Nothobranchius furzeri: one gene and its partners. The protein of the gene in region 4 binds, or shares a complex with, the protein of the main gene of each other region. Links are inferred from orthologs where the notes say so. Each region holds a gene or a part of one and is shown on either strand. Other genes may lie near its edges. The genes, in order: snrpd2, sf3b2, ppil2, crnkl1, rbm48, sf3b5 and rnf113a.

Evidence for each region.
Region 1: crnkl1 (region 4) and snrpd2 share a complex: the UniProt entries of both Homo sapiens proteins name them as parts of the minor spliceosome. The link is inferred for Nothobranchius furzeri from reciprocal best matches to the Homo sapiens genes CRNKL1 and SNRPD2.
Region 2: crnkl1 (region 4) and sf3b2 share a complex: the UniProt entries of both Homo sapiens proteins name them as parts of the minor spliceosome. The link is inferred for Nothobranchius furzeri from reciprocal best matches to the Homo sapiens genes CRNKL1 and SF3B2.
Region 3: crnkl1 (region 4) and ppil2 share a complex: the UniProt entries of both Homo sapiens proteins name them as parts of the minor spliceosome. The link is inferred for Nothobranchius furzeri from reciprocal best matches to the Homo sapiens genes CRNKL1 and PPIL2.
Region 5: crnkl1 (region 4) and rbm48 share a complex: the UniProt entries of both Homo sapiens proteins name them as parts of the minor spliceosome. The link is inferred for Nothobranchius furzeri from reciprocal best matches to the Homo sapiens genes CRNKL1 and RBM48.
Region 6: crnkl1 (region 4) and sf3b5 share a complex: the UniProt entries of both Homo sapiens proteins name them as parts of the minor spliceosome. The link is inferred for Nothobranchius furzeri from reciprocal best matches to the Homo sapiens genes CRNKL1 and SF3B5.
Region 7: crnkl1 (region 4) and rnf113a share a complex: the UniProt entries of both Homo sapiens proteins name them as parts of the minor spliceosome. The link is inferred for Nothobranchius furzeri from reciprocal best matches to the Homo sapiens genes CRNKL1 and RNF113A.

What each region holds. Positions count from the first base shown.
Region 1 is NC_091753.1:27,245,625-27,250,004, reverse strand, and holds the start of snrpd2 (small nuclear ribonucleoprotein Sm D2), read right to left. Parts: upstream 2,932-4,380; 5' UTR 2,796-2,931; coding exon 2,794-2,795; intron 1,824-2,793; coding exon 1,644-1,823; intron 1-1,643. UniProt on the Homo sapiens protein: Plays a role in pre-mRNA splicing as a core component of the spliceosomal U1, U2, U4 and U5 small nuclear ribonucleoproteins (snRNPs), the building blocks of the spliceosome.
Region 2 is NC_091742.1:75,390,471-75,394,346, forward strand, and holds part of sf3b2 (splicing factor 3B subunit 2), read right to left. Parts: intron 3,378-3,876; coding exon 3,269-3,377; intron 166-3,268; coding exon 74-165; intron 1-73. UniProt on the Homo sapiens protein: Component of the 17S U2 SnRNP complex of the spliceosome, a large ribonucleoprotein complex that removes introns from transcribed pre-mRNAs.
Region 3 is NC_091750.1:38,466,164-38,470,039, reverse strand, and holds part of ppil2 (RING-type E3 ubiquitin-protein ligase PPIL2), read right to left. Parts: intron 3,060-3,876; coding exon 2,968-3,059; intron 2,746-2,967; coding exon 2,656-2,745; intron 952-2,655; coding exon 876-951; intron 794-875; coding exon 633-793; intron 1-632. UniProt on the Homo sapiens protein: Has a ubiquitin-protein ligase activity acting as an E3 ubiquitin protein ligase or as an ubiquitin-ubiquitin ligase promoting elongation of ubiquitin chains on substrates.
Region 4 is NC_091742.1:17,430,342-17,433,271, reverse strand, and holds the end of crnkl1 (crooked neck-like protein 1), read left to right. Parts: intron 1-884; coding exon 885-1,124; intron 1,125-1,193; coding exon 1,194-1,295; intron 1,296-1,365; coding exon 1,366-1,614; intron 1,615-1,757; coding exon 1,758-2,093; 3' UTR 2,094-2,224; downstream 2,225-2,930. Other genes in the region: naa20 (N-alpha-acetyltransferase 20), read right to left, coding at 2,293-2,378, 2,445-2,590, 2,665-2,800, 2,876-2,930. UniProt on the Homo sapiens protein: Involved in pre-mRNA splicing process. As a component of the minor spliceosome, involved in the splicing of U12-type introns in pre-mRNAs.
Region 5 is NC_091759.1:22,195,483-22,200,138, reverse strand, and holds rbm48 (RNA-binding protein 48), read right to left. Parts: upstream 2,930-4,656; 5' UTR 2,915-2,929; coding exon 2,786-2,914; intron 2,635-2,785; coding exon 2,444-2,634; intron 2,373-2,443; coding exon 2,227-2,372; intron 2,143-2,226; coding exon 1,613-2,142; intron 1,518-1,612; coding exon 1,455-1,517; 3' UTR 532-1,454; downstream 1-531. Other genes in the region: peroxisomal ATPase PEX1, read left to right, coding at 3,352-3,459, 4,425-4,571, 4,642-4,656. UniProt on the Homo sapiens protein: As a component of the minor spliceosome, involved in the splicing of U12-type introns in pre-mRNAs.
Region 6 is NC_091752.1:24,290,499-24,294,712, reverse strand, and holds sf3b5 (splicing factor 3B subunit 5), read right to left. Parts: upstream 3,042-4,214; 5' UTR 2,929-3,041; intron 1,400-2,928; 5' UTR 1,385-1,399; coding exon 1,124-1,384; 3' UTR 838-1,123; downstream 1-837. UniProt on the Homo sapiens protein: Component of the 17S U2 SnRNP complex of the spliceosome, a large ribonucleoprotein complex that removes introns from transcribed pre-mRNAs.
Region 7 is NC_091745.1:10,008,132-10,012,427, reverse strand, and holds rnf113a (E3 ubiquitin-protein ligase RNF113A), read right to left. Parts: upstream 2,760-4,296; 5' UTR 2,706-2,759; coding exon 2,600-2,705; intron 2,300-2,599; coding exon 2,220-2,299; intron 2,148-2,219; coding exon 2,049-2,147; intron 1,794-2,048; coding exon 1,686-1,793; intron 1,596-1,685; coding exon 1,486-1,595; intron 1,404-1,485; coding exon 1,297-1,403; intron 1,207-1,296; coding exon 1,117-1,206; intron 1,045-1,116; coding exon 951-1,044; intron 882-950; coding exon 775-881; intron 689-774; coding exon 621-688; 3' UTR 557-620; downstream 1-556. UniProt on the Homo sapiens protein: Required for pre-mRNA splicing as component of the spliceosome. As a component of the minor spliceosome, involved in the splicing of U12-type introns in pre-mRNAs. E3 ubiquitin-protein ligase that catalyzes the transfer of ubiquitin onto target proteins.

The DNA of each region.
Region 1 (4,380 bases), on a different chromosome or scaffold from region 4:
TCTATTGCACAATTAACAAAAACCAGAAAATCTCAAATAAATTCCTCAAAAAAATTGATAAATTCTTACTGTAAGAGAATAAACACTACAGGCCTTCCATGCTTTTATTGTGTTGCGGTTGGTTATGTTCTGGTGACGTGTAGAACTTGGGAGTGCAGGCTGCTGCCTGAGAGGTGGTAGAAGATGGAGTGTCTCCATGCTGCTTTGTTTTGGTCACTTATGTGCGTGAGGCGAGTGGTCTTACGGGTTAAACCAAACTCAGGTAATATTTTACACTAAACCGAAAACCCACAACACTCTAAATGTAATAAAAGGGAGATCTACACCACAAAAAAGATGAACTCTAAACCAAAACGTAACAGCTTATCCCAATGCAAGAAGCTGTTAGCGAAGATGCTAACAGTAGCTTTACCAAAAGTTCAAGTTACCAAGTTTAAATAAACCAAAAACACCCGGCAGCAAACAGACCAGCAGGGAGGAGAGACTGCTACCACCAAAACAGCTCTCCTCATGTCTGAAAGAAGCTCCTTTATGAAGGGAGAAGCGCTCCCGGTGATTTTCTACATCTGCGATAGACATGAAGCAGCGCATCTGACCCCGGAAGTTGTTGTCCGTTGCCGGGAGACGAAGGGGAAAAACAGGAAAATAATCTAGTAGTGGACGGACATTGTTCCGGGTCTTCGGTATTTGGCGGAGATGTTAGTGAAGGCGGAGAAGAGGGCAAACTAGAGGAAAAACAGGCAGATTCCTCCTCTATTTACAAACTCCTGGGGATGCAACAAGTGGGCGCGGTGCGTCAACTTCCGGATCTGACGTCGACAAATTTTTAGAATCGAGCCGTCGACTTCGTCGAGGCTTCGCTACAGCCCTAGTTTTAGGTGCCTACCTCCATTTGACTGTTTAGCATTTGTATTAACAGGTTACTACAGGGGTGCCCAATCCTGGTCCTGGAGGGCAGGTATCCAGCAGGTTTTGTGTTTTTTCTGCTCCAACAGACATGATTCAGTGGTTGAAACACCTGTGCAGCAGCTCATCAGGCTCTGCAGAAGCCAGTTAATTAGCTGCTGATTGAAATCAGGTGTGTTGAAGCGGAGTTCAAACTAAAACATGCAGGACCAGGATTCCGGCACCCCTGGGTTACAAAGTTAACTAAAAGCTGTTTGATAAGCTATCATCGGGTATATTAGGGCACCCTGGTGCAATAAGCTATACTTTTATGCATGATGACATGATTAGTTGACTAATCGTCAACAAAACTGGTGATTAGTCTACTATTAAAATTGTCTTTTGTGGCAGCCATACCTAAATGTGATTTTAAGTTTTTTGACTCTGCCATCCAAATGCATAAATGCATGGTGGCGCAGTTGTTAGCACTGTTGCCTCGCAGCAAGAAGGTTGCAGGTTCGAAACTCGGCTGTGGCCTTTCTGCGTGGAGTTGAGTGTTCTCCCCATGCATGCATGGGTTTCCTCCAGGTACTCCGGTTTCCCCTACAGATCACAACATGCCCTACAAGTAAAAAATTGTACGTCGCTATGGATAAAAGCGTCTGCAAATAAATAAACATAAAAAGCTAAATGTAAAATTTTCTCGCATAGATGCAGAACTCTGAATGTTTTTTTTTAGATGAAAATTCTTTCAATACCTGTCAAAAGCTTTAACTCTTCCAAGCAGCTTCTTATTGTTGCGGCAGTTGATGAGGACTTGAGTGTTGTTTTTCACTGACTGGGTGAGCACCGACAGGGGGCCGGTGTTGAACTCCTCCTCCTCCCGCTTCTGGAGTTCTTCTGGTGTCATCTCTGATTTGGGCTTCGTCAACAGACTCCTACACAAAAGCAGACACGATACTAGATCATTTGCTTCTGCACAGATAACGGTCACAAGTCCTTTTAGCGGTTTGCTTTTAAAACTTACATGATTACAAGATAATAAATGAAAACAAGGCACCCTAACTAAATGCAATTCAAGAAACCTGACTTTAACCGAGATTAAAATTTAAATCTCTCAGTAGAAGAGTGGGGAAGTTCCCATAGGCATTTAACAAAACTAATAACTTATTTTAAAAAATTTACACCAAGCTACTTTTAGCAATAGCCAAATATTCAACAATATCAGACATACACGTTTAATTTACTGGTTAGCAATCAGAAGTTAAAAAAAATTGAAGAGATTAGAATGACAAGTTTTGCATTAACAATTAACTGTTTCTCTGAGTTTCTTCATAACCTTCCTTTACTCTTTTGTATCAAGCAATGGATTTCTTAGAAGATTGATTAAAAAAAACATGTGGAACATCCTTGAGACAGAACGTCGCTAACAATGATGTTCTGAATTAAAATAAGCTCATATGCTTCAAAAACATAAAGCCGACTTCGTTACTAGGCTAATATCCTGACAATTTCATTCTCCAAACGCACATTTTAGAAAGTTGGTCAAACTGTTATCTACGGGGAACACAATTTGACTCAACACCGGTCTCCTTAATCGTGCTGCTAATATTTCGCAATTGGCAAACATAAAATTTAAACAATCGTAGCATCATTAACGATCACCAACGTAACTACTACATATATTTTATTGCAGTAATTACCCTGTACATATTAGGTTAATGGTGAGTAAAATATGAAAAGCGATAGCACGTTTAGAAAGCAACACAACGTGAGCTAACTAGCATTCATCAGTGAAAAGGCTAAACATGTTAGCATTCGAGAAAAGACGCTGCGACTCGTAGCTGATACTCTATCTCAAAAAATGACACTTTCCGAAATGGCTATCTCATCATCAACGACACTTACATGATTGGTGGTTTATAAAAACTGTTTAAAGCTGTTTTTCTCTCGTTTCCACCGTCTAATTCTTATGAGCAACGCTTCTGCCTTCTTCTCGTGGACGAAAACACTTCCGGGTCATTCTCAACGCGCTCTAAACAGTTCGCTATAACTTCCGGGTTACGGAGATTCTGCTCGGTAAGTGTAATGGAAAAAAAATCATCCATAAATGTAAAAATCTTGAAACTATTATTTTCTTAGTTACTTTTTTCCTAAATTCTATCTATCTATCTATCTATCTATCTATCTATCTATCTATCTATCTATCTATCTATCTATCTATCTATCTATCTATCTATCTATCTATCTATCTATCTATCTATCTATCTATCTATCTATCTATCTATCTATCTATCTATCTATCTATCTATCTATCTATCTATCTATCTATCTATCATCATCATCATCATCTATAGTAGTTCTTCAATACAGTTCCAACACAACCAGTGCATAGAACAAGCGTGTAAAAGGTAAGCCCCTCTTTTTTCGTCATTGCTTATTCTTCATACGTCATGAAGCTGATGCCCAACTCTAGCACTCATCAGTCAAGAGGTGAGTCCTTGGATGGGTCACCAGTCTAGCACAGGGCCACATGGAGACAAACAGGGACAAACAAATATGTATTTATATTTAGAGACACAATGGAACCTAAATGTTCTTGTTGTATCCAGTGAAAACCAGTGTATGCATGGCCAGAATGCACTTTGAAGAAAGGCAACCTTGCAACCTTCTTGTTGTGGGGAAGCAGTACCATTTGTACCATGCAGCCCTATATCAAAAACTCTCTCCTCACAAAGTAAAGAGGAAATAAATAAGACTGAGGAAGCAGACCTCTCCGTAGTCTGCAGCCCAAACAGGTAAGCCTTTGTTTCGCTGTTTAACACAGCAAAGGTGTGTGTGTGTGTGTGTGTGTGTGTGTGTGTGTGTGTGTGTGTGTGTGTGTGTGTGTGTGTGTGTGTGTGTGTGTAAAGGAGAGAAACGGGTATATGTGGCAGCAACGAGACACTAAGAGATTGGCTTTCTGGCAAGAGACAGACAGACGCCTATGGGTGCTCAACCCACCCACCTTGTTCCAAAGGTTACAGATCTACCTGTGGAAATCACTTGCTGTAGATAATGGCAGGCTGTGTGTTGCTGGGAGAGGTGAATGAGTGGGATTGGTTTCCAGACTGCACGGTTCTATACCTTTACCAAGCACACTCACCCTAGACTCTTGCATCTTGAGATGCAGACTAAAATGAGCTCAGCGTTACCTTACATGGGATGGAGCTGCATTCTCTAATCTGAACACACTACAGTGGCCCAATTAAGAGAGCAACAAGCATTAAATCAGATGAGTAAGTACAAGATACAAGTCTATCAATCAAACTATTAACATTTAAATGCACAAATCTAAATGTTTATTTATTTAAAATGACAGAATATTTTGTTTATAGAAAAACAAAGTCTCTAGGATGTTGAATGTTAAGTCTTCCAGCTAAAAAAAAAACCTCTGGTGCAAACACAATCTGTCATTATCAGCAATTTACATCAACTGGATGCAAGTTTGTGTGA
Region 2 (3,876 bases), about 58 Mb from region 4:
CTTGTTCAACTCAAAACGGGATCAAACTTGGTCACTACTAGGTGCTCCTGAGCTTTGTGCAGATGGGACTTACATCTTTTTTAGACATCAGACCATCTTCGTCGTTCTCAGACATCAGCGCTGAGGAATTGGTGGCATCCATGTCCCTCCCATCATCGTCGTCGTCTGTAGAGGGGAGAGTCAGTGAAGCAAAGAGCTAGAAACAGAGTAAACATCGGTGTGGCCGACGCTCGTCTGAGGGAGCTAAAGGAGGCTACAAAATCACAAACTGATGATGACCTGGCTTTGTTGCAACTGGATTTGTAAACAATATTGTTTGTTCAAAAGTCTGGTTCTTTTTACTTTGTGGTTTATTTTAGGATTAGTTGGCTAATGTTAGCCCTAGCTCATTATTAGCGCTAGCTACAGCAGGGTTGTTTGACTCTTGTAATTCCACTTTCATCCAGTAGGGGTAGAAGCTTAATGTGTGCAGCTTTAACTAACGATAGAGACCAAAATCATGTTCCATCCATCCATTTTCATCCACTTATCCGGAGTCGGGTCGCGGGGGCAGTAGCTTAAGTCAAGACGCCCAGACTTCCCTCTCCCCAGCCACTTGGGCCAGCTCCTCCGGGGGAATCCCAAGGTGTTCCCTGGTCAGGTGAGAGACATAGTCCCTCCACCGTGTCCTGGGTCTACGTTTAGGACTCCTCCCGGTTGGGCGTGCCTGGAAAACCTCACCAGGGAGGCGTCCAGGAGGCATCCTGACCAGATGCCCGAGCCACCTCAACTGCCTCCTCTCGATGTGGAGGAGCAGTGGGTCTACTCCGAGCCCCTCCCGAATGACAGAGCTTCTCACCCTCATCTCTAGCCACTCTTTGAAGAAAACTCATTTTGGCCGCTTGTATCCGCAATTTCGTTCTTTCGGTCACTAACCAAAACTCATGACCATAGGTGAGGGTGAAAAACGTAGATCGAATGGTAAATCGAGAGCTTCGCCTTCTGACTCAGCTCTCTCTTCACCACGACAGACCGGTACAACGCCCACATCACTGCAGATGCAGCACCAATCCGCCTATCGATCTCACGCTCCAGTTTTCCCTCACTTGTGAACAAGACCCCGAGATACTTAAACTCCTCCACTTGGGGCAGGACCTCATCCCTGACCCGGAGAAGGCATTCCACCCTTTTCCAAATCAAGACCATGGTCTCAGATTTAGAGGAGCTGATTCTCATCTCAGCTGCTTCACCCACACACTGGGTGTTGCCACCACGGCAGGCACCGACGATCTTGCGACCACAGCTCTGGTCGGTTGCCTCAACAATGGAGGCAGGAACAGGGTCCATTCAGACTCAATGTTCCCCGCCTCCCCCGGTACATTTTGGAAGTTCTGTCGGAGGTGGGAATTGAAGCTCCTTCTGACAGGAGACTCTGCCAGACGTTCCCAGCAGACCCTCCCGATACGTTTGGGCCTGCCTGGTCTGACCGGCATCCTCCCCCACCATCTGAGCCATCTCACCACCAGGTAGTGGTCAGTAGACAGCTCTGCCCCTCTCGTCTTCACCCGAGTGTCCAAGACATGCGGTTGCAGGTCAGATGAAACAACAACAAAGTCGATCATCGAGCTGTGGCCTAAGGTATCCTGGTGCCAAGAGCACATATGGACACCTTTATGTCTGAACATGGTGTTCATTATGGACAATCCATACCTGGCACTGAAGTCCCAAAACAAAACACCACCCGAATTCAGATCAGGGGGGCCATTCCTGCCAACCACACCTCTGCTGTTGCCCACGTGAGCATTAAAGCCCCCCAGCAGAATGAGGGAGTCACCAGAAGGAGCGCTCTCCAGCACCCCCTCCAAGGTCTCCAAAAAGAGTGGGTAGTCTGAACTGTAGTTTGGTGCATAAGCACAGACCACAGTCAGAACCCGTCCCCCCCACACGTAGGCGGAGGGACGCTACCCTCTCATTCACTGGGTAAACCCCAAAGTACAGGCACCAAGATGGGGGGCAACTAGTATGCCCACCCCTGCTCGGCGCCTCTCAGTGGGAGCAACTCCAGAGTGGTAGAAAGTCCAACTCCTCTCAAGGAAACTGGTTCCAGAGCCAGAGCCATGCGTTGAGGTGAGTCTGACTATATCTAGTCAGAACCTCTCAACCTCTTCATGTTCCTACAACAGAATTTTAGGAACAATGTAGATGAAAAAAGGGATAAAATTCATGAAAAAGCACAAACTGAAAGACAATCGTCATCATAAACTGAAGAAATTATTGTTAAGTCTCAACTTTGCTGAGAAAGATGCAATCTCACTGTGCTGAAAGGGGTTTAATTCATCCCTGCAAACTCAGAAGGGGTAAAAAAAAAAAGGTGCAAACTAAAATCAACCACCTGTCACCACTTGTCACGTGGTGACAGGTGGTTGATTGATGAATGCCCCTCCTTCCTCTGAAAACGGATTGACTGAAAGCGGTTTAGGGTGGGAGGCAGGGTATCTGCAGGTTTAAGGGAGCCAAATTTAAGACTTTTTAAGACCTTTTTTAAGGCCACTTTGACCAAATTTAAGCTATTTTTAAAATTAAATTTAAGCTATAATTCCCAGCTATTGCCTGGAGCCAGTACTAACCACGTCGTGAACGTGGGATTAGCCATCCAGTTACCATTAAACTTGCACTTCCCCATGGCGCAAGCTCCCACTAGCTTAACCAGCTAATGTGCTCATCTAAAAACAGCCCCCTTTCACAAGCAACTGAATGTGTACGGTTCCGCTTACGCCAACATCATACACAAAAAATGCTGAACACTAACTAGAAATTCACGAAAATTTTTATAGAAATAAAATAATCTTGTTTTTTGGGGTCTTTGGTAATTTAAGACCTTTGGAAACTGGATCTAAGGATTATTTGTCATTTTTAAGGATTTTTAAGGCCTTAAATTTGGAAAAGCAAATTTAAGACTTTTTAAGGACCCATGGCTACCCTGGGGAGATGGCAGCAGTGCAACTGCACAGGAAGCAAGCTGCTGTTAAAACCTGAAGGAGAAATGGAAACCCAACCAAAGTCTCCCCCCCCCCCCCAAATAAACTTTACAAAACGGGAACGCCATATTTAGCTTCAAAGATGTCGAATTTACCAAAAAGTGACAAGTTTGCAGATTTGTTATTTACAGCCAATTAGGTTGTATATGAATATAAATCATAAAAATGTAAGGATTAACAAATAAATCTTATTTAATCAACAACTAATCATTTAGAAGAACTATGAAAAGGATCTAAGAAGCGTCTGAGACCTGCTACATCAGTGAGCTGCCCCTGTCTGATCTCCTTCAGCTGCAGGATCTTCTCCAGAACCTGAGGGATCTTTGGCCCACTGATGCTGATCTCTTCATGCTGCCAGGCCTGAAAGAGCACAGATACGACAGAAAAATATTTTATTGAAACAAAAAGTTCATTTAAACCACAGCAGCCTGCTTCAGTCAGTGAGCTAGCAATAATTTAAAGGGACATCCTCTCAGAGGGAAATCACTTAACTGGATTTTTAAGCAGGAATAAAGGTAAACATTTAAATACAGAATTTATTTGAAAAGAAGAATTTATGTAAAATGTTAACAGATAAAAACCAGAGTGATGTGAAGGAGGTACAATATTAATCAGAGATTATTGCACTTTTAGAACAGCTAAAGCTAAAAAACAAACATCAATTTCCTATGGAAGCCCATTAAATTAACTCATATTTATGCCATTTCATAATGACTTAGCTATTTTGTTACTAGGCGGCAAAGTCATCATTATGAAACACAAGATGTATTTTTAAACAGAGTGGTGTAAATGGGCTTCAATGATTTACTGCACCAGTAATAGGGATGGGAACCTTTGACATTTGAATCGATCCGGTACT
Region 3 (3,876 bases), on a different chromosome or scaffold from region 4:
CCCTGTTTTTGGTTTGGGTTTAGTAGTGGGAGGAACGCCGTTTACTTTTCTATTCTCCTATTGTAACCTGCACAGAAACCCTGCTAGCTGCACGGAGAGTGAATCAGAAATGGGCTTAGAAAAGAAAAGGTGCAGTCGGGAAAAGCAGTGGATGGTCTTTTGTGGAAACTGACTTTACTAATCCATAAAACGGGTCACAGGCCACTCGTCTCCCAGTCATCAGATGAGTTATGTAGCACACATTTGCCTTTGGTACCGGGGTGGATCAAGTCCAACAGGACGGCACATTGAATACGTTCCACTCTGAATGTTTATTTGAATACTGAAGGAAAAGGAGACAGTCTGGCTAACATGTTGGTAGCTGTAGTCTGGTTTAGTAGTTAGTAGTTAATCATTTACCACGACGCAACAACAACCCTAACCAGAACCAAACCAGCAGCTGTGACTTTAATCTGAGTCATCATATCTGAGAACACAACTGTTCACTTTTCATTCTTGTTTTTTCTTTAAATGAACAGAATCTCCCATTACTCTTTTCCTTTTCCCTCCACCATAACTCACAGTTTGGCGCCCTCTTGTGTCCGACTTTGAGCTTTTGAAGCAGAGTTGTTCTGCTTTAAGATTTGACCTACAGCATTTATTTTGTCGGTCTTCTTGGCTTCTGGCTCCTTCATGGTGGAAGCCAAGAGCTGATCCCCCTTGTAGTCTTTGTAAAGCTCAGCCAAGGTCTCCCTGGTTTCCAGGTTGGTAGTCTTCAGGTGATACGCTGGATCCTGCCTCGCCTTCTCCTCGTCTAAACGGCAGCAGATAAAGGAAAGAAGTATTTTACTCACAACAAACCAGAAATTTGACTCCGATCTCAAAGTAAAAATTACCTGCATCTGACATTTTCAGGTTGTTCTTCACATGGAAGAAGTTTGACACGTTGAATTTATCCAGGTTTGTGGGGTCCTTTAAAAACAGAAAGCAGATGTTTTTAAGGGCCTGCATCGTGCGAACTCCAGTCTTTGGAGCTTTTGACCGTGTTTTATTATTTCCTGATGAAAAGCAACGTAAAGCAGTTATTTTCCTGTCTCAGCTGCTTCTTTCCTTCAGCTCTGGAAAACTCTGCTAAGCTTCAGCAAAAGCCTGGGTAGAGCTTAGTTGTGTCATCACTGCCCCGCTCCTCCCCATCCAGGAGTCTCGGGTCTGGATCCCGCCGCTCCAGCGCCTCATTTATCAAACCTTACTAGAAACTGTCATATTTCCAAATTCAGGATGTTAGCCTGAATGTCGTTTACATACAGAAACGCACTCGATTAACCATACTTGGTCACACAAGGTCCTCTAATGCCACTTACACGCTAGCATCAGCTCCACTCTGCTCCGCCCACCCCAGCCTGGCCACATTCGTCCCCCACTGCCTTAGCGATGTAACTGAGCAGCACATGGGCGGTCTGTGGCCTGTGATGTCATGATCGGATCTCCGAGCACGTGGGCGGGACAAAAGAGCACAGAGGTCCACTCCACGGGGTCTTCATTATTAAGCAAAAGCAGCCCGAGCAGTCTTGCTTTTGGAGACTCAGCATCCTGCTTTGCTTTGCTGTGTGTGTGTGTGTGTGTGTTCCTCACAGCAGTGAGAGACAAAGTAAAATGGCTTCAGTCAGAGGCTCGTTAACACCACAGCATCCAGAATGATACTGAGTGCGTTTACATGCAGCCAGTAACCCTTTTAAAACCCGAATATTCACAATAACCCGGTTCCGCAGGTCCATGTAAACACCGCCAGAAACCCGGATATGCTCATAACCGGGTTTTTAAAAACCCGATTACTACACCTGGGGTAACCCTTTTCTAACCCGAGTGTTTGGTCGTGTAAACGCATATCGGGATATCCCCATCAAAGCGTGTGTTCTGCGCATGCTCTGTTCGCAAGGAATCTTGGTCTTTTGAGTAGCGAGACGTCTTGTATGCGCGAGAACTCCGGAAGTAAACAACAAGTTGGGAGCAAAATGGCGAGTCACGGCACAGCACCACACTTTTGGAGTGACAAAGAAACTAAAGCGCAAACAAATGCGGTCGCTATCTCTTCCGAACTGGGAAACATGTTGTTGTTTTCACGGATACCGGAACGAGAAGAACCGGAAATGAGGCATATTGCGTCTGGACGTAGTCCATACGTCCTGACGCTACCCCAACGTCCGCATTAAAATCGGGTTATGTAAGTTAGAGGTAACTCTTTTTATTTATGCTTGTAAACGGGTTATTCTGATCAACTCAGAAACCCGAATACCGACCTTAACCCGATCATAACCCGGATATAGGCTGCATGTAAACGTAGTCAATGAATTGTGCCGACGGGAAGCCCCTGCAAGCTGATTCTATCTGCCAATCGGAGGCTCCCCCTAAAAGTACGCGTGACTTTGAGCCAGCCAGTCAGCAGGTAGCGTGTTGGACCAGTTTGGCTCCAGGCAGACCGCCTCAGGAAGAGGGCTAAAAAGACGTCCGGTGAGAAAATCCAAATGAGAACACTCCCAACCCGGTCCAGGCGGAGTGGAGCCGATGCTAGTGTGTAAATGCCATAAAGCTCGAGGGAAATCCCTGCGTTCTTCCCGGGGAAAACAAAACCAACTTCAGTGGCAGCGAGATCGAGGCGCTGCAAAAGAAACGACTAACCTGGAGTGTGATGATGTCCTTTCTTGTGAAGGGTTCATCTGTCAGCAGATCTTTGAAACTCTTGGTTTTGATGTTTAGTTGCTCGACGGCCTGAGGAAACCAAACCAGGAACATCACATCATCTCTAATTTATTATTTGTTTATATGGAAGGTTTATGGATTCCTACCAGTTTCTTCAAGTTATTTAAAAATATTTGAAAATGTTCAACATTTCTGTAAAAACGCTAACCTTTAGGGTTTGAATAGGACGTAACATCTGTACATGTTTAAGGGAGAACTGTTTGTGTTTGACTATCGTTAAAGTTTACTGACCTCATAGGAAAACACATTTCCAGTCACCTTGTTGGCAACAATGTGGGAATTATTTGTGAAGACGTTGTAGAGAACAGGACAGTGATACTTTCCTGGAACACGATACAGAAATAAAAGAGAAAGCAGGGATAATCAGTCTCAGTTCGGTCAGATAAATGTTCGTCTTCTCTGGAAATCATAAAGTATCTAAAACTTTTGTTCACCGGTCTGAAGAACAACACGAATACCTTCTCAGTGGCCTAGTGGTAGCGTGTCCGCCCTGAGACCGGGAGATTGGGGTTCAAATCCTGGTGGGGTCATACCAAAGACTAAAAAAACCAAAAGGAACCCAACGCCTGCCTGCCTGCTTGATACCCCGCGTTAATGGGTTGGACTGGGGGGGTCAAACCACCAAATGGCTCCCGGGTGCAGCTGTCTGCAGCTCACCGCTCCCCCAGGGGATGGGTCAAACGCAGGGAGCAAAGGTCACACTAATAACTAACAGGTCTTTTCATTTTTAATTGAATTCAAATCTGACGAGCTTCGGCAGCAATCGTCCCGTTTTTAAGTTTCTCTGGTTAACGAGAATCTCGAGGCTGCAAAAAACAACTTTTGCTTTTGTTGTTGAGGTCCTTCACTCGTATTTTTAATACAGTGGCTAAGGAGGTACAGCAGGTTGTCCAGTAATCAGAAGGTTGTGGGTTCGATCACATCTCCTGCCAGAGAATTCTGCTGTTGTGTCCATGGGCAAGGCACTTAACCTGCCTTGCCAGCTGGTGGTGGTCGGAGGGACCGGTGGCGCCCGCGCTCGGCATTCTCTCCTCTGTCAGAGCGCCCCAGGGCGGCTGTGGCTACATCGTAGCTCATCCCCACCAGCGTGTGAATGGGTGTGTGACTGATTGTGTTGTGAAGCGCCTTGGGGGGCTGTAG
Region 4 (2,930 bases):
CACAACCTTAAGCCTGATTTATACTTCTGCGTTGCCCCAACCCTCTTACCTGGCCGACCTGCGTTTCTACACACCCACTCGTGCCCAACGTTCAGCTGAGCAGCTGCTGCTGATTGTTCCAAAGGTTCCCTATAAATGTTTAAAGAGCAAGTCACCCCCAAATCAACTTTTTTTTTCTGATAAACTATACAAATGCGTGTCTAATCGTGCTGCAGACACGTGTAGTCAATAGTTTAGCACTTTAGTGCATTTTAGTTAAAATTTAAATTTTCTGCCTAAAACTGTCAGTGTTGTGCCGTTGTCAGGTAAAAACTCTGCTCTGTAGTTGAATTTAAATCTGCCATCGCTATTGGCTAAGAGGTACCCTAGAATGTTAGCTGGTACCATATGATGTCACAATGTCGTTGTGAGCCTGTGTGTGTGCGTATTTGTTAGCGGCTCCGCCCTCTCAGTCTGCTAGGCAACAGCATTTAATGCATTTTTCAAACAGGAAGTGGGAGTGGAGTAATACTCTGGTAGGGGGTGTCTTGCTCTTTAAATAAATATAATATAAGGTCCGAAAATATGAACGTTATTCACCCGTGAGTGAAGGAGTACAAAATACAGAGCAAGCGTGGCCTGAAACCACGGGAAACGTGGGTGTTGAGGTTAGGGACACATTAGTCCGTGTTAGTAAATACACTATAGGGGACGGGGTCATGGTGGCAGGATACCACAGAACAGCGCTACGCCCTCTGTTGGCCTGGCGTGGAATCGCTCTCCAACACTCCGCTGCCTGAGCAGAAAGTCGAATGTGAAAACCTTTCCGACACTCCGTGTGCATCTCTCCGTTGTGGAGCTCACAGAGAAGTATCAATCAGGCTAAACCCCCCACCCCCATGCAGGGCACGGCCATCGGGAAATGTCCCAAGAACAAGTTGTTTAAGGGGTACATCGAGTTGGAGCTGCAGCTGCGAGAGTTTGATCGCTGCAGGAAGCTCTACGAGAAGTACCTGGAGTTCACCCCAGAGAACTGCACCACCTGGATCAAGTTTGCAGAACTGGAGACGATTCTGGGAGACATGGATCGAGCTCGGGCCATCTTCGAGCTTGCCATTGGACAGCCACGACTGGACATGCCTGAGGTTTGGACTGCTTAGTTTTATGCTGCAGAACAAACGGGACTCAGACCTCTGACCCTGTTCTCTTCTCAGGTTCTGTGGAAGTCCTACATCGACTTTGAGATCGAGCAGGAGGAGTTTGAGAACACCAGGAACCTTTACAGGAGGCTCTTGCAGCGCACTCAGCATGTCAAGGTGAGACTGGGTCTAACCAGATACCGGTTCGAACTCCCAAGGCCACGCTGACCCAGTTCTGCTCCTGCAGGTTTGGATCAGTTTTGCCAAGTTTGAGCTGTCCATTGATGAACCCACGCGGCTGCTGAAGTGTCGCCAGATCTACGAGGAGGCCAACAAGAGCATGAGGAGCTGTGAGGAGAAAGAGGAGCGGCTGATGTTGCTGGAGTCCTGGAGAGACTTTGAGAAGGAGTTTGGGTCCGACAGCACCAGGGACCGGGTCAGGAAGCTGCTGCCTGAGAAGGTGAAGAAGAGGAGGAAGCTGACAGCTGAAGACGGGGTAAGGAATACTTTCATCTGAGCGTGGTGGTCGGTTCAAAACCCTGTTGTGGTCCAATGGTTAGTGGTGAAGCCCCAGCCGTTACCTTTAATTATTCATGGTCCAGATGTTCTCAGCTGATCAGGTGTTTCTGTTCCCATCAGTCCGACGCAGGCTGGGAAGAATACTATGACTACATCTTCCCAGAAGATGCTGCCAACCAGCCCAACCTCAAGCTGCTCGCTATGGCCAAGATGTGGAAGAGGCAGCAGGTGAGGGACGATGGAGACAAGTCTTCAGCAGGTGAGGAGGAACAATCTTCCTCTCACCAACCTGCAACTCCTGAAAAGCAGCCGGAGGATGAGAGCATCCAAATGGAGACGGAGCAGCAGAACACACACGGTGACCGATCCGACGGGAGCAGCCAGGAGGAGAAGGAGGAGGAGGAGAGAGAGGGCAGCCGGCGCAACAAGGAGGAGAAAGACCAGAGTCCTCCTTGAGAAACTTCACCTTGGTTTTCCTTCAGTTAAAGAACTAAAATAGCTCATTTGTCTCACACACACACACACACACTTTTATATTTTTCGGAAATGTTCATTGAAAATTTACAGGAAATAAAAACATGAAGCCACGTGTTTTCTATAATCAGTCTCTGGGTGTGACGAGTAACCAGGAAGTGATGATGGTGAGGGTCAGCTGTTATTCGATGTCTTCTGGTCTGACCGGATGAGGCAGTGGGATGATGGACTTCTTCTCTGTGTCTCGGGACAGAGCTTTCCTCATGTCTGCAGGAAGAAACAGTTGGTCAGAGATATGTACACGCACGCACGCGCACACACACACACACACACCATAGGCGTCTTCATCGGGCTCCCCGTTGCTGGCCGAGTAATACTCAATCACAGTCCTGTAGACGCTGTAACCCAGACGCTTGTACATGTTCACTGCCACCTGGTTGGACACTCGCACAAACAGGTCCACGAAGAACCCTCCCTTCCTGCAGGACAAGGACACGTGTCTCATCAGGTCTCTGAGGGACGTCTGCTCTTCCGTCTGATTGCCAGCACAAACCTCTCTGAGATCTCCTCCAGCATCTCCATGAGTTTGGCAGCGAGGCCGAGCCGTCTGAAGTCTGGAGCCACCGACAGCGCCGTGACGTGGCCATGCCACTCCTCCCGGGCTACAGATCCCTCCGCCTTCCCCATAACTGGTGACAGGAACAATCAGATAAGCTGTAGCAGCGATGACGTCATCAACTCACTGAGAAAACTGAAGAACTCACTGTAGCCCATCAGCTCGCCACCCGGAGCCTCAGCCACAATGAAATACTCTGGCCA
Region 5 (4,656 bases), on a different chromosome or scaffold from region 4:
ACATTAATTCTGCTTGCTTCACAGACCGACAGGACACGAAAAAAAAAATATATATATATATACATACATACACATATGTATTATATATTTATACACATACACATATATATTGATGATAATATAATTGTTGTTTTTGTAAAAGTCTATTTTGGGCTGTTATTTTTCTTTAATTAGTACTGTTCTAATGTTTTTGTGACCATTTTATTTGTTTGGTGGTAAATTTGCACCCATGTGAAGGATTTCAAGATTTTCCTAATATGCAGAAAGTTTTAGCAGTTAAAATATTGACAGTGTGAGATAAAATAACATGCTCAGGGTTTCCTCTACGATTTTGATAAACCGTGGTGGAGAGACGTGCGGAGACGGTCGCTCTGAGACACGAGCAGTATGCTTTTCGATGAACATTCCTGCAGGTGTGTGTAAAACATCCATCCATCCATTGTCTGAACCCGCTTTGTCCATGTAGGGTCGCGGGGGTGGGGGGTTGGGGGCTGGTGCCACCCTGAACAGAGAGCCAGTCCATCGCAGGTGTGTAAATCAGCTTATTGTTTAATTACAATTAAATAAAAAAAATGTAAAAATATATTTACCTTGAAATAATTTGTATTGCTTGATTCCCACCTTGATTACAGCCATGGGCGGAACTTGATTTCTGTCCATTTTGGGTCCCAGCCAGATTCTCTGTGCTGACTTTTTTCTTCCCTCTTACCGCTTCCCTGCTGCTCTCTCCCTCATCATGCTCACTTATGCATGCTGGTCCTTGTTCTGCCTCTCCACTTGTCTCTCCTTCGCTCACCTCCTGATGGTTGGCGCGCACCAGAGCGGTGTCCTGAGCATGGCGACAGTAACATTCTCAGTGTCTCCACGTATAACACACGATTGTTTATGTCGACTCGTGTCCTTTTTATGCTTCCTGTCTTTTATTTGTGCCCGATGCGTTTTGCTGCTGCGGAGCGAAGCGCATCACCTGTTTTGTCCTCAGGTGACTTCACCACACCGGTGCGCCCTCGCTAATTTAGCGGTCGGTAGATCTTTTTGAACTGCAGTTTAAAGTTTTGTTGCAATAAAATTTATTTTAAACTGTGACTATGGTTAGTACACATGCACAAATATAGACTATATATGTCTCGTTATTGTTTTAATGTATATCCAAAAAAAATGTTTCTGAAGGTACGTTGTTTGAAGTTTTTTTTTTGTTTACTTCTGAAGGTGTGGCAGCTTTTATTTTTCCGTAGTGGCGCGCCACGGCAACATGCACATAGGAAACACAGTATTAGTATTTCTTTAGCTTTCTAAATGTAAATTTGTGCACTCTTTACATAATAGCTGTTTTTTTTAACCTTTTTTATACAGGTTGGTATCATAGCATACAACAGCCGATGAGATAAACAGTTTTCCGAAGCAGTGGGAGCGTCGGTTTTCTTCCAAGACTCCCATCTAGACACCTGTCCAGATCATATCCGACGACGTGGTTTTGTCTTTTTCTCAACAGCTTTGAAACCCGGAGCAGATCCCACCTGAAAAAAAAAAAAAAAAGATTCACATGTTTTAATCCTTCATTAAGGCTGATTTACTTTTTATGAAATTATTAAAGTACTGAATCAACAATGACCTGTTTCATTGTGTTCCTGATCAGGCTGGCAGTTGTGTTCAACGAGTCATCATTCATGTCCAGTTTAGGTGGTTCTGGTAATTTCGGTCCAATCAGGGTCTCGGTTCCTCCAGAAACACTTGCCGACTGCTCGGGAGCCTCTTCCATTCTGCGTTTCCTGATCTCCAAGTGCGAGGACCTTGGGAGAAACCTGAATGCTGAAGCCTGATCTGAGGTCAGTCTGTGTTCTGTGTCGTGGTCTCTCTCTGAGGCTTGGTTAACGCTTAACTTTTCCACTTGGGGCTGTTTCAAGTTTATGATGGCATCATGTAAAGTTCCCATTTTGTCCTCCTGTGCGCTGATCCCATGTGGACTGTTATGTCCAAAGGGATGCTGCTCCCATGGAGGTAATGGGAGAGGAGGGAATTCTGCATGTTGGCTGTGGTTTGAAGCATCCTCTGCACATTCTTTTTTAGAGGTTTGATCGTGTCTGACGTTTATGTCTGATGCAGTCGTCGATGATGCGGAGCCTTCGCTGTGCGCCGCTTTTGCTTTGTAAGAGAAGATTTGTTTTAAAGCATTGAAAAGCAACATTTAAAGGTCAGAACTAAATCAAACATGATGTTAAACGATACCTCTGCTCCGAGCTGCTCTCATAACATAACCCCTCCGGTCCTGTAGCTTTAGCCTGGTGTCTTCTACAGTCTCATACTCTGGGACGTAACACACATGCAGCACACCGCCGTAGAAGCTTTTCTCATCCATGTTGCGTTTGGCTGCTCTGAAACAGAAACATTCGATAACGATTAAGCAGGTATTTCCAGTAAAGTATGAGGAGCGAATAAATCGTACCTGGCGCTGGTTAGCTTCTGGAACTTGATGAGGTAGACTTCTGTAAACTCCTCAGCCGGATACTCGTCCAGAGGTCTGTACTCCTCCACAACACCATACAGGGCACACAGCTGGACCAGCTCCGTCATCACACCGATAGCTGGGACTCCCAGTACCATCAGGAAACGGGACTCTAGGTTAATGGTGTACACCTGGAAATTCACAAGACTAAAGTTACATTTCCTGCGTTCAGTGCAGTATTAGAATGATGTTACCAATTAAGCTAAAGCAAATCTTGTGTGTCTTCTTTACAGAATTTATGAACATTTTAGCTGAAATTAATAACTTCTAAGATTGTCTCACCTTAACCGCTTTAGCTCTTCTTCCTTCTCGATACTTTGGTCGAGAAATGCAAACTTTCTGCTGTTCGTGATGTTTGTGAACGTCAGGAACTTTCCAACAACCGGAGCTGTTGTTTACAGGGACCGCCATGCTTATTCTAAATGCTGTTCCGGTTTAACACTTTCAAAATAAATGCTTTTAGTTCAGTGAATGCGTCTGCACTTCCGGTTTAACACTTTCAAAATAAACGCTTTTAGTTCAGTGAATGCGTCTGCGCTTCCGGTTTAACACTTTCAAAATAAATGCTTTTAGTTCAGTGAATGCGTCTGCACTTCCGGTTTAACACTTTCAAAATAAACGCTTTTAGTTCAGTGAATGCGTCTGCGCTTCCGGTTTAACACTTTCAAAATAAATGCTTACAGTTCAGTGAATACCGTCGCGCTGCCTGTTAGAATACTCTTTTATTTTGAAAGCAAAAGATCAACTACTTTTGCCTGGTGAGGAGTCCATCGTCCACAGAGCACATCGATAAATCCAATTGCTCTCTCTGCCTGGTGTATGCTAAGCTAGCTAGCAATGCGAAAATTATGTTTAGCAACCAGGGAATTCAAGCCGTTCGTGTCGTTTTTAACAACACAAAAAACTGCTTTCTTCACCTCCCTTCCAAGTTGGTAGCGCATCTTTCCTTGAACGAGGTAGGTTAGCTAACTAATTTCATGTTGATTTACTGCTTTTTAGATCATTTCTGTACGTTAAGACTTAGTTTTAATGTATAATGTCTGTGCTAGCATAAACAGATGACAGTTTTTAAACGACTAGCCGGGTTGTCTTATGCTCAGATGAAAGTACTTTTGTTTGAGATTTTATAAACATGCAAAGCAAACAGTTACCTAATCAACGACAGCTGCTGGTTTTTAGGATTTTCAGGTGAATTGCTTCCTTGACATCTATGTTTGCCTTATTTTACTGCATTAGAGACTTAGAGAGACACACTTAGACTACTGTAACTCTCTTTTCACGTGTCTGAGCAGAACCTCCCTGAACCGTCTACAGGTGGTTCAGAACGCCTGTGCTCGGCTTCTGACCAAGTCCTCCAAACGCACCCACATCACCCCGCTTCTCCTCCAGCTTCACTGGCTGCCAGTCAACTTCAGGGTTCATTTCAAGATCCTGGTTCTGGTCTATAGAGCCTTACATGGACAAGCACCATCTTACATTGGTGATCTTCTTAGTCCCTACACCCCCAGCAGGTCCCTGAGGTCCAGTGATCAAAGCCAACTGGTTGTGCAGCACCAGGCTAAAGGTCAAAGGTGACAGATCATTTGCTGGTGTGGCCCCCAGACTGTGGACCTCTCTCCCCCTGAGCCTGAGATCAGTGGACTCAGTGGTCTCCTTTAAAAAGCAGCTGAAAAGTCACCTGTTCAGGCTTTGGTGGGACCTTCACCACCCTCTCCTTGTTCTGCTCTTTGCACTTATTCCACATTTCCGTGATCCACTGATTTCCCGCTTCCCTATTCATTTTCTCTCTCCCTTTCCTTGCATCGTTTGCATTAAAACACACACACACACACACACTGCAGCCATGGTCCTTTAACACATAAAATGCTTAGATAACCAAAAAAAGCAGAAAAATAAATGTTTTGTCTCTCTTTTTTTGCAGAATCAGGCGCTGGAATTGTCCTGGGGTAACGGATCTCCAGTGTTTCTCAGCTGGACTCGAAGTAGGGCCTCCTCCAGCCAGGATGCTCACAGGGTGGAACTGTGTCGGCAACTTGGAGAAACGTTGGGTTTGAGAGACGGAGAGCAGGTGAAACCCTGTTAGGGATTTTTTTTTTACAGATGTTAATATTAACTGACGGTTGTGTGGTTCCTACCAGGGCTTCCTCAGACCG
Region 6 (4,214 bases), on a different chromosome or scaffold from region 4:
AACCTGTGACTTTGATCTTATTTAAGGAATTTATACTGCTTTTCTTTTCTTTATCCTGATTCATATTTTTGGTAATAAAAACATACTTATGACTTAATTTCTGAACTTTTTTCTCAATGGCAGTAACAGACCTCCATACGTTGTGCTTGTAAATTGATTTTCTTATCAATGGATTTCATAAACTATTGATTAAAGTTGTGTTTAATAAGAGGGAGTTTAAGTTACCAAAGAAGGTGAATTGTTTAAAGCAGGATTTAGCGGTTTTTCATGCACACAGCTGTCACATTTGTGTTTCTGAGGCAATTTAATTTAAAAATTCTAGCTTTTTGTGTGTCAGCAGTTCCCAGTTTTGTCTTGAAAAAGCAGGTCGGCTGGTTTTGAAAGCAGTCTTTTGGCAATTTTTAATAACATCATAAACCTGTGTTCTGTTGTTTTTAACACCGTTATTTTTTTTCTTCAACCACCTTTTGGTGGACTTTTCTAAATTTCACCCACTGATTTTTCAGATAATTTTCTTCCGTGAAATTTCCTACTGCAAATAAGCAGTTTCAGCATTTGAACCACAGTGCATCAGTTATTGTTGTAGTTGAGTAAAAGCATTTTGCTACAACTATAATAAAATAAAGATTATCTGCATTAAATTCTCTTTTTTTTCTTAATATTGCAGAAAAGTATTGGGTGTAGCTGAAAAACACCAGCATTTCAGAGTAAAAGGCTTCAAAAGGCTACCTGCCACCTATGAATGTTTATTCAAATAAACCCAAATCACATTCAATCCAAATGATGACAAATAAAAGTGTTGTGAAAGAATAGATGAATAGCTGGCTGTAAAATAAATAAGATTGTAGAAAAAGGTCAAATTTTAATGAATAAGCAAAACTTATCATGGGCACATTGTAATCATCAATCTCTTCAATCTCTTCACAGATAATTGTGCATCACTTAGACACATTTACCGTTCTTGTAAACATTGAGATCTTGAAATAATTTGTTTTGCCTCAGTGCTGTCCATATGCAAACAAAACTACTATAAATGGATGATCCAATTATTTTTGATAGGGTCAAACAGGATTTAATGGTAGAAAAAAGAATTTCCAGGGACAAAAGCTCACTCTGGAGTTATTTAAGCATCATCGGGCTTGTCTGCTGGGGGCCCACATGGCTGAAGCATCTTCTCCATCAAATTGAAGCGAACGCGGGCCTTGCTCTCATTCTCAGCCACGGAGAAGTAGTTTAGCAGGTCAAAGTGTCCCATGTAGGAGCAATATGAGTCACGATGTTGGTTGACCAGCCATTCCCACTTGCTGGTATCAGCATGTCCTGTGCCGATGTACTTTGATTGAAGATGTTCCAGCTGACTGTGGATGTTGTATCGGTCCGTCATTTTCACTCAAAGACTCTGGATGGGGAAAGGATAGAAAAACATCACCCGTGATGTTCTTTAAAATCATTTATATAAAAAAATTCTACATTTTCTAGAATATTAGGCTGATTCATTAGACGTTGTTCTTGTACAATGTTGTTTGTAAAGGTCAATCTTGTTTGATTCACCAGGGAAAGAAGTCCTTTAAGTTTTAAAATAAACTTGGGGTTTCATCAGTGTCCAGATGAAGATGTACTGTTATTCTTAAAAAGATAATGTGTGCATGCTGTACGTAATTCATGCTGGGATGCAAAAAGCATCACTTGTTTTTACTACATTGTGTCAGAACTCCATACACACATTAGCCTGTATGATGTTGTATAAGGCACATACTGAGCAGGTAAAGCTTTTTAAAATGCTGCTTTCTAGGGATGAACAATATATCAGCATCAATATCTGTATCGGCCGATGTTGGTCAATTTTTAACATATCGGCTCGATAAATAAAACCAGGCCGATATTTTTTCCATCTCGTCTCCATTTGTTCGCCTGTTTCAGAGGGTGAGGGGGGTGATGTGTAATTGTTTAGTCATGTGAACAGTGAATGAAATAATCTCAGACCCATAAATGTGTGTGTTGCGTGTACATAATGTAAATTCAGCTTTAATGTCAGCATATCTGTACCGGCAAATATCAGTTATCAGCCATAACAGTGAGCTCAATATCAGATATCGGTATCAGCCCAAAAATGTCATATCGGTGCATCACTACTGCTTTTCTACATGTTTTAACTTTTAGAACAGCTAAAAAGTTTCAGACTTTTTAACATTGATTTCCAACAATGGTGGAAAGAAGAAAAAAAACCTCCAGCTCAGTCTCTTTTTAATTTGGGTCAGACAAACAAAATAAACGAGTATTTGCAGCTAATCGTAGCAGCAAAAGCTACTTCTTAACAGTATTGATACTATTTATTGACACAATCAGCAGATCGCATGCGCTTTTGATTTAGCAAAAGAAAAGACAACACAAACGCAACAACAAAACCTTAGAAGGTCCCAGGACTAAGTACTGATAACGCAACGTGTGGGTGACTACTTTAATCTGGATGTATGGTGACAACTAGGGAAAAAGACAGAATTAAAGCTTAAAAACTACCACTCCAACATTAAACATCCCAAAAAGACTATTATTTAAAGCAAAATACAAACGAACATTTCAAATATATTGGAAAGGCTAACGATGTTAGCAAAGTTATCTAATTCGTTCATGCAGTGTATTTTTCCACTGCATTCGAATCCTTAATCGCCGTTATTTATGTGAGTTTTATCCAAATGATCAACATTGACATATTAACAAACAAAATACAATTCCAAATATTCGGTCGTTGCCCTTTATTTACACATTTTCTTTGTTGGACAACGTTTGATCTTCCACTCTTTATGCTAACAGTAGCTTAGCTTAGCTAGTCGGTCTTCGTGTAATAAAAGTCTAAATTTAGGCTCCCCTGGAGGGCAAATAATAGCTTCAGCTTCACATCAATTGGTTTTAAAAGAACAAAACACTTACGTAATGTGTACAGAGATCAAGAACTAAAACAAAACAGGTAAATTAATTCTGAGTCGTTCAGGCACTGACAAACGACCACTGCCGGCGCGTTACCCTATGAAATGATCCGGGTAGGAACAAATGTCGTACTGTTCTGATTCCGCTCCATTGGTCAAAGTGTACTTCTTACTCACTCAAAGAAAGTTTTTTTTTTTTTTTTTTTTTAGAAAATCTGGGTACATTAAATACAGTTATTATTTTCTTTGGTTTATTTGTAGGTTAATTGAAAATAGGTTGTGTCTATGTTGCAATCTTTTCTTTTTTATGTTTTAAATTCGTGTGTAGCCTCTATCATCATTCCACACCATTCAAGGGAATACGTCCATTGTTTTTCTTATGCTTCTAAAAACAAATAGTACTACTTGGTCTTCTTCCAAATAAATAGACTGCAGTATTTATTGGCTTTTTCTAAGGATATAAATATGCAAGTGTCTGCAGCAATCATTAGAGTACCTGTGCAGTGAGATAAACTTTTCATCAAAACTGATGTATTCATGTTGTTTTAAAACATTTATCTTAAAACAAATAATCACAGTACAATTTTTCAAATTGCCACATCGAGACTAAATTGCTCAGAATTGCTTAGCACTGGGCTCTCCTGTGGCTGGTATAATGAAATTTTTTCTGTGGATAATGTGTTTGATGATGTTCTGCATTGAGCATGTTTGCTGCCTGTAGAGTTATGACCCTAATTTTCCATCTACCAGCTGTTGCTAATGGCAACCATGATTGGGACAGAAAAATATGAAAATATGGTTAGATTTGGGTTCAGAAATGTTTTGAAATATTTGTTAAAAATTACTCACCTATGATCTTGACTGCTTTTCCTCACTAGGGTCAAAGGGAGCAGTCTTTCCCCAGCAGTCATTAGCAAAGTACACCCTGGACAGGCCACAAGATATCACAGGGACACTGGGACAAACAAACTACCACGTTATGGTAGAGTCGCGTTGTTGTTATCCAACGTGGATGTTTTGTCTCTACAGATAGCACAAGCCTGGAGGAGCTTCTGCTGTGTGGTGGGGTTGCTAATGCTAATGGTCAGTGTTGGGAAAGTTACTTTTAAAAAGTAATTAGGTATAGTTACTGATCACGTCGTTGTCCAAAAAGTAACTAAAAGTAACTAATCACCAAGAAAAATAAACATTTTGTTACCTTTTTTTTCACTAAAGAATGCAAGAAAAATGGGTTCCCCTCTTGATTAAACTTACTTAATTTACTATAAATTACTACAATACTGAAATATA
Region 7 (4,296 bases), on a different chromosome or scaffold from region 4:
TTGTTCTCTTTGCGGATTCTTGCTCTGCACTGGTTTATCTCACACAGGTATTTACACGGATTGTACTCTACACACACCCACGAACCAAAAGGACAACTCTTGAGTTTTCTAAAGGTAGATGTAGCCCAAACCATAAAGGTCAGGAGACGGATCAATGAAATGCTGCTACGTAATATTACCAGGAGACGCTCCACCGTTTGTGTTAACACGATTTGGTCCGTCTGCTCCAGGAGACGACCATAAGGGCACCTAGCAGTCCTCTCTGAGGACTGACAGCATTTCTTAGCTCCGGTCTGCTACAGCAGATGCATCGTCTCACGGTTCAGACTCTTTTGTTGCACAGGTTGTAATTATTAGTTTAGCATTAAGAGCGTAAAAGTTAGCCTTTTCTTCGGCTCTCTGGGTGTTACTGACGTCAGATGTAAATGTTTTCTTGGTGCTGGTTTTGTCTGCATGTATATTTGAAAGTTTGGACAAAGCAACGTGTTACAAATGTAAAACTTTTACTACAAACCCAGGCCTGCTTCAGTGTTTCAACATGATTGTACAAAAGGAACCGAGGCCATGAACTTTATTAGAAATGTACACAGACAAACACAGAGAGGGTTCTAAAGCGTGTTCTAATCTTCTTCGTCTGACGGTGGCTGGTCGGCTAAAGCGTTGCGTTTCTCCATCTTGGCAATCAGCTCTAGAATAAATGACAATAAAACATCAAGTGTGACTGTTTACTTTGGTTTCTGCTCCTCTTGGATGTTTTTGAGCAAATGCATTTACCTTTAGCGGGGTTGAAGACACCATTGGTCTGAGTGTTGCACACGTAGCAGCGCTTTGACTTGCGATAATGCTGAAGAGCACAGCTCTCACAAAAATAGTGCTTACACCTAAGGAAACAGCGATTACCAGCCGGTAATAAACAAGGACTGAAGGAGAGAAACCATCGCAGTACTTACTTTGTGATGATGGGATTTTTAAAAGATTCTCTGCAGATGAAGCACTTGAAGGGCAAGTCTTCATCATCACTGCTCACCTCATAGTTCTCGTCATCTAGATGAAAACACATCAGAAACTTAGTCTAGCCAGCAAAAGAGAAGATTTCAAGTTCGATTATTTACTCACCATTTGCTCCATATCTCCCTTCCTCCAGTTCCCTCTCAATCTGCCAGCCGTGTTTGTAGTCCGACCTGTCATGGAGGAACTTGCAGCTGTCTAATGGCAACGGATGCAATCATGATTAATAAACAAAACCTTTGACTTCACAGTAGGAACGTTTTAAGAGTTCAGATTGTTTTCACCAACCCCCAAATCCACAGAAACCCGTCTCCTTGTAGTCTTTGCAAATATCCGGTTGGTAGTCCCACCGGACTGTAGCTCTCAGGTGTTCAGGAGCTCGAATCGGTCCTTTTCTGTAGCACAGATTGAACGTAACCTTCAGCATCTATAGGTGAACAACATCTTCTGACTGCATGTGAATATCTCTTGCCTCACCTGACCATGCCTGAAGAGGCATTGCCCATGGTGGTGTCTTTAGGCTTGATGAATTTTTGGTAGTTATTGATGCCACGGTATATTTTATCATCTTCTTTACCTGTTAGCTCCTAATGAGACAGAGGAGGGAAAGCTCAAATGACGAAGGTGAGATTTTGATTATTTCTCATTTTATATTAACCAATAGCGGCATGTCCTACCTCTTGGATTTTCTGACTCCTCTCAAAAATAGCTTGAGCATCCTTGTCTCTCTCTGTGTCCAGCTGATAAGTGGCAGTTGCACCCATGTCTTCAGGCCCCTCGGGTTTCTTTTTATGAAGGCAAGGTACAGTAGAAAGTTTTAAAGTAAATAAAAACAACTGTTCAGGGCACATAGTCATGTGTACGTGGATGAGAATGGTCTGTAGATTGTAAAATAATGTTAAAATTTGCTTTTCTGGTGAAGTTTCAGCCCCTGTATGTTTTGTCTCAACAGCCAGGTTGAGCCATGATGGAAAAAAGATCAGTGTTTGACTTGTACTGTCTGGCTCTGACATTTTTGAATGAATGCAGTCTGAACTCACCGCTGATCGGGAAGACTTGTAAGCAACCGTTATCTTTTTGTCTCCCTTTTCCTCCTCGCTTTCACTAGAAGACACAGCGTCCCTCTCCACTTTTTTTGTCTGAACAAAGAATACATAGATCATTCACGTTGCTGCTTCATAACTAAGTATCTATTAGCTTGCCTGCTCTACCTTTTGAATCATGGGGTTGACTCGAGCATCCTTCTTTTCTTTTCTGACCACAGCAGTCTGTTCAGTGTCACTATCGCCATCTAAAACAAACAAACAAACACACACGCGCACACACACACACACACAATTGGTGTAAACAAACATTACAAAATCTATTACAATTAAACTAGGTTACTTCCCCTCTTTGTTTAAATGTAGCTTTCAGGTGATAAACCATAATGTTTTTGGTCCTGTTTATTATGGAGGATAATATAAACAAACTGTTTGGGTCGCGGTTTTGATCTCCCTGATGAGAAGCCGCTATCAATTCTATCCAGAGGACAGACAACGCTAGTTAGGAGAAAATTACAAGGAAATGTATCTAAATGATAGTTTACTACCTTTATCGCTGTCACTTGCTTTTCGTTTTCTTCCGGAGAATTTCTTGGTGGATTTTTTAAACAAAAACGTACAAGTAGCTGCTTTTGGTTTGTCTGGGTCCGCCATGTTTTTGTTGGTGTAAGAACAGTGGCTGCCAGAGCAGTAGCGCCCCCTGTTGTTCTGGAGGCGAAACGTGACGCGCTCCTTCTGCCAAAATGAGATTCACAACCGTCCATAAATCAAAGTCAACGCGGCTCTGGCTAGAATGGTAAACCTAAAATATTATGTTAGAACGGACGAGGGCCAATGAAAACAAAAGAAAAATACAATAAAAAAATGAACAGAAAGATAATTCTGACTTTAATCTCAGAATTTTCAGATTTAAATCATTATTCTTTGTTTTCAGTGGCCTTAATCCTCTTCCGTAGTACTTGAAATAATTTTTAAAAGGTAATTTTAGTTTTAAACAGAAAAATAATTAACGCATTTTGATTGGACACTAAATGTATAAACGATTAATAAACAAAATACACAAAAATAGCCATTAGAAATGTCGTTGATAAAAAGAAGAAACGATCTTTTACAAGACCGCTCAAGATAATAATCATGAGCAGGCGCTTCACAAGAACAACAACAACAACAACAACCATAACAACAAAAAACAAAAAAAGAAAGAAAAATAAATAAAAACGAATGACATAAATTTGTAAGAAAATTTTATGTTTAACTGCTTTTTGTCTAAATAATCTTTTGACGTAACTGATGCCAACACAATCTGTCTATAAGTGATTAAATGTATTGTTTATGTCAACTTGATAACAAGAACTCAATTAGTTTCTGGCTTTCGAGAGTAGGGTTTTTTCCAACCTCTGGCGGTCAGAGGCGGTTACTACAGTGTTCACATAAAGTTGAACAACACATAACCAATTAGCACTTCCTATAAATCCTTTCAAAATAAAAGAAATAACAAGAGGTCAGAAGGTCTGCAGTTATATAAACTACACAACCGATGAAGCTTAATAAATGTATCATAATTATCTGTGTTAAACAAGATTAAATTAACGCGCTAAAACAAAAACTATTAGCAGCATTACAAACACATCAGATCATACGCCCTCTGGTGGCCTATTGTCCCTCTGCTGTAGACTCAGAGGAACATCAAGTAATTCTTTTTGATTGTGAAATTTAACTAACAAGTTTGTAATTTCTTCTCAAACATTTCAGATATAAAACAATTTAGGCCACTATCAGGTGTCTGCCCTGGGATTGGGAGATCGGGTTTGAATACCGGTCTAGTCATACCAAAGACTTTAACAAGGAACCCAATCCCCCCCCCTGCTTAACACTCAGCTTTAAAGGGTTGCATTAGGGGGTTAAACAACCAAATTACTGAGCGCAGCCACTGCAGCAGCTCCCTGCTCTCCATCGGGATGTGTCAGATGTGGAGATGAATTTCACCAGTGTGATGATGACTATGGGACTTTAACTTTATTATTTGAACACACACACACACACACACACACACACACACACACACACACACACACACACACACACACACACACACACACACACACACACACACACACACACACACACACAAATGTTTGAGGTCATTTTTGTTTTAAACCGGAAAATAATGCGTTTTAATTGGACAATAAATGTAGCTATAAACTACTGAAATAAAAATAAAACATAAAACACTAAACAAAATACA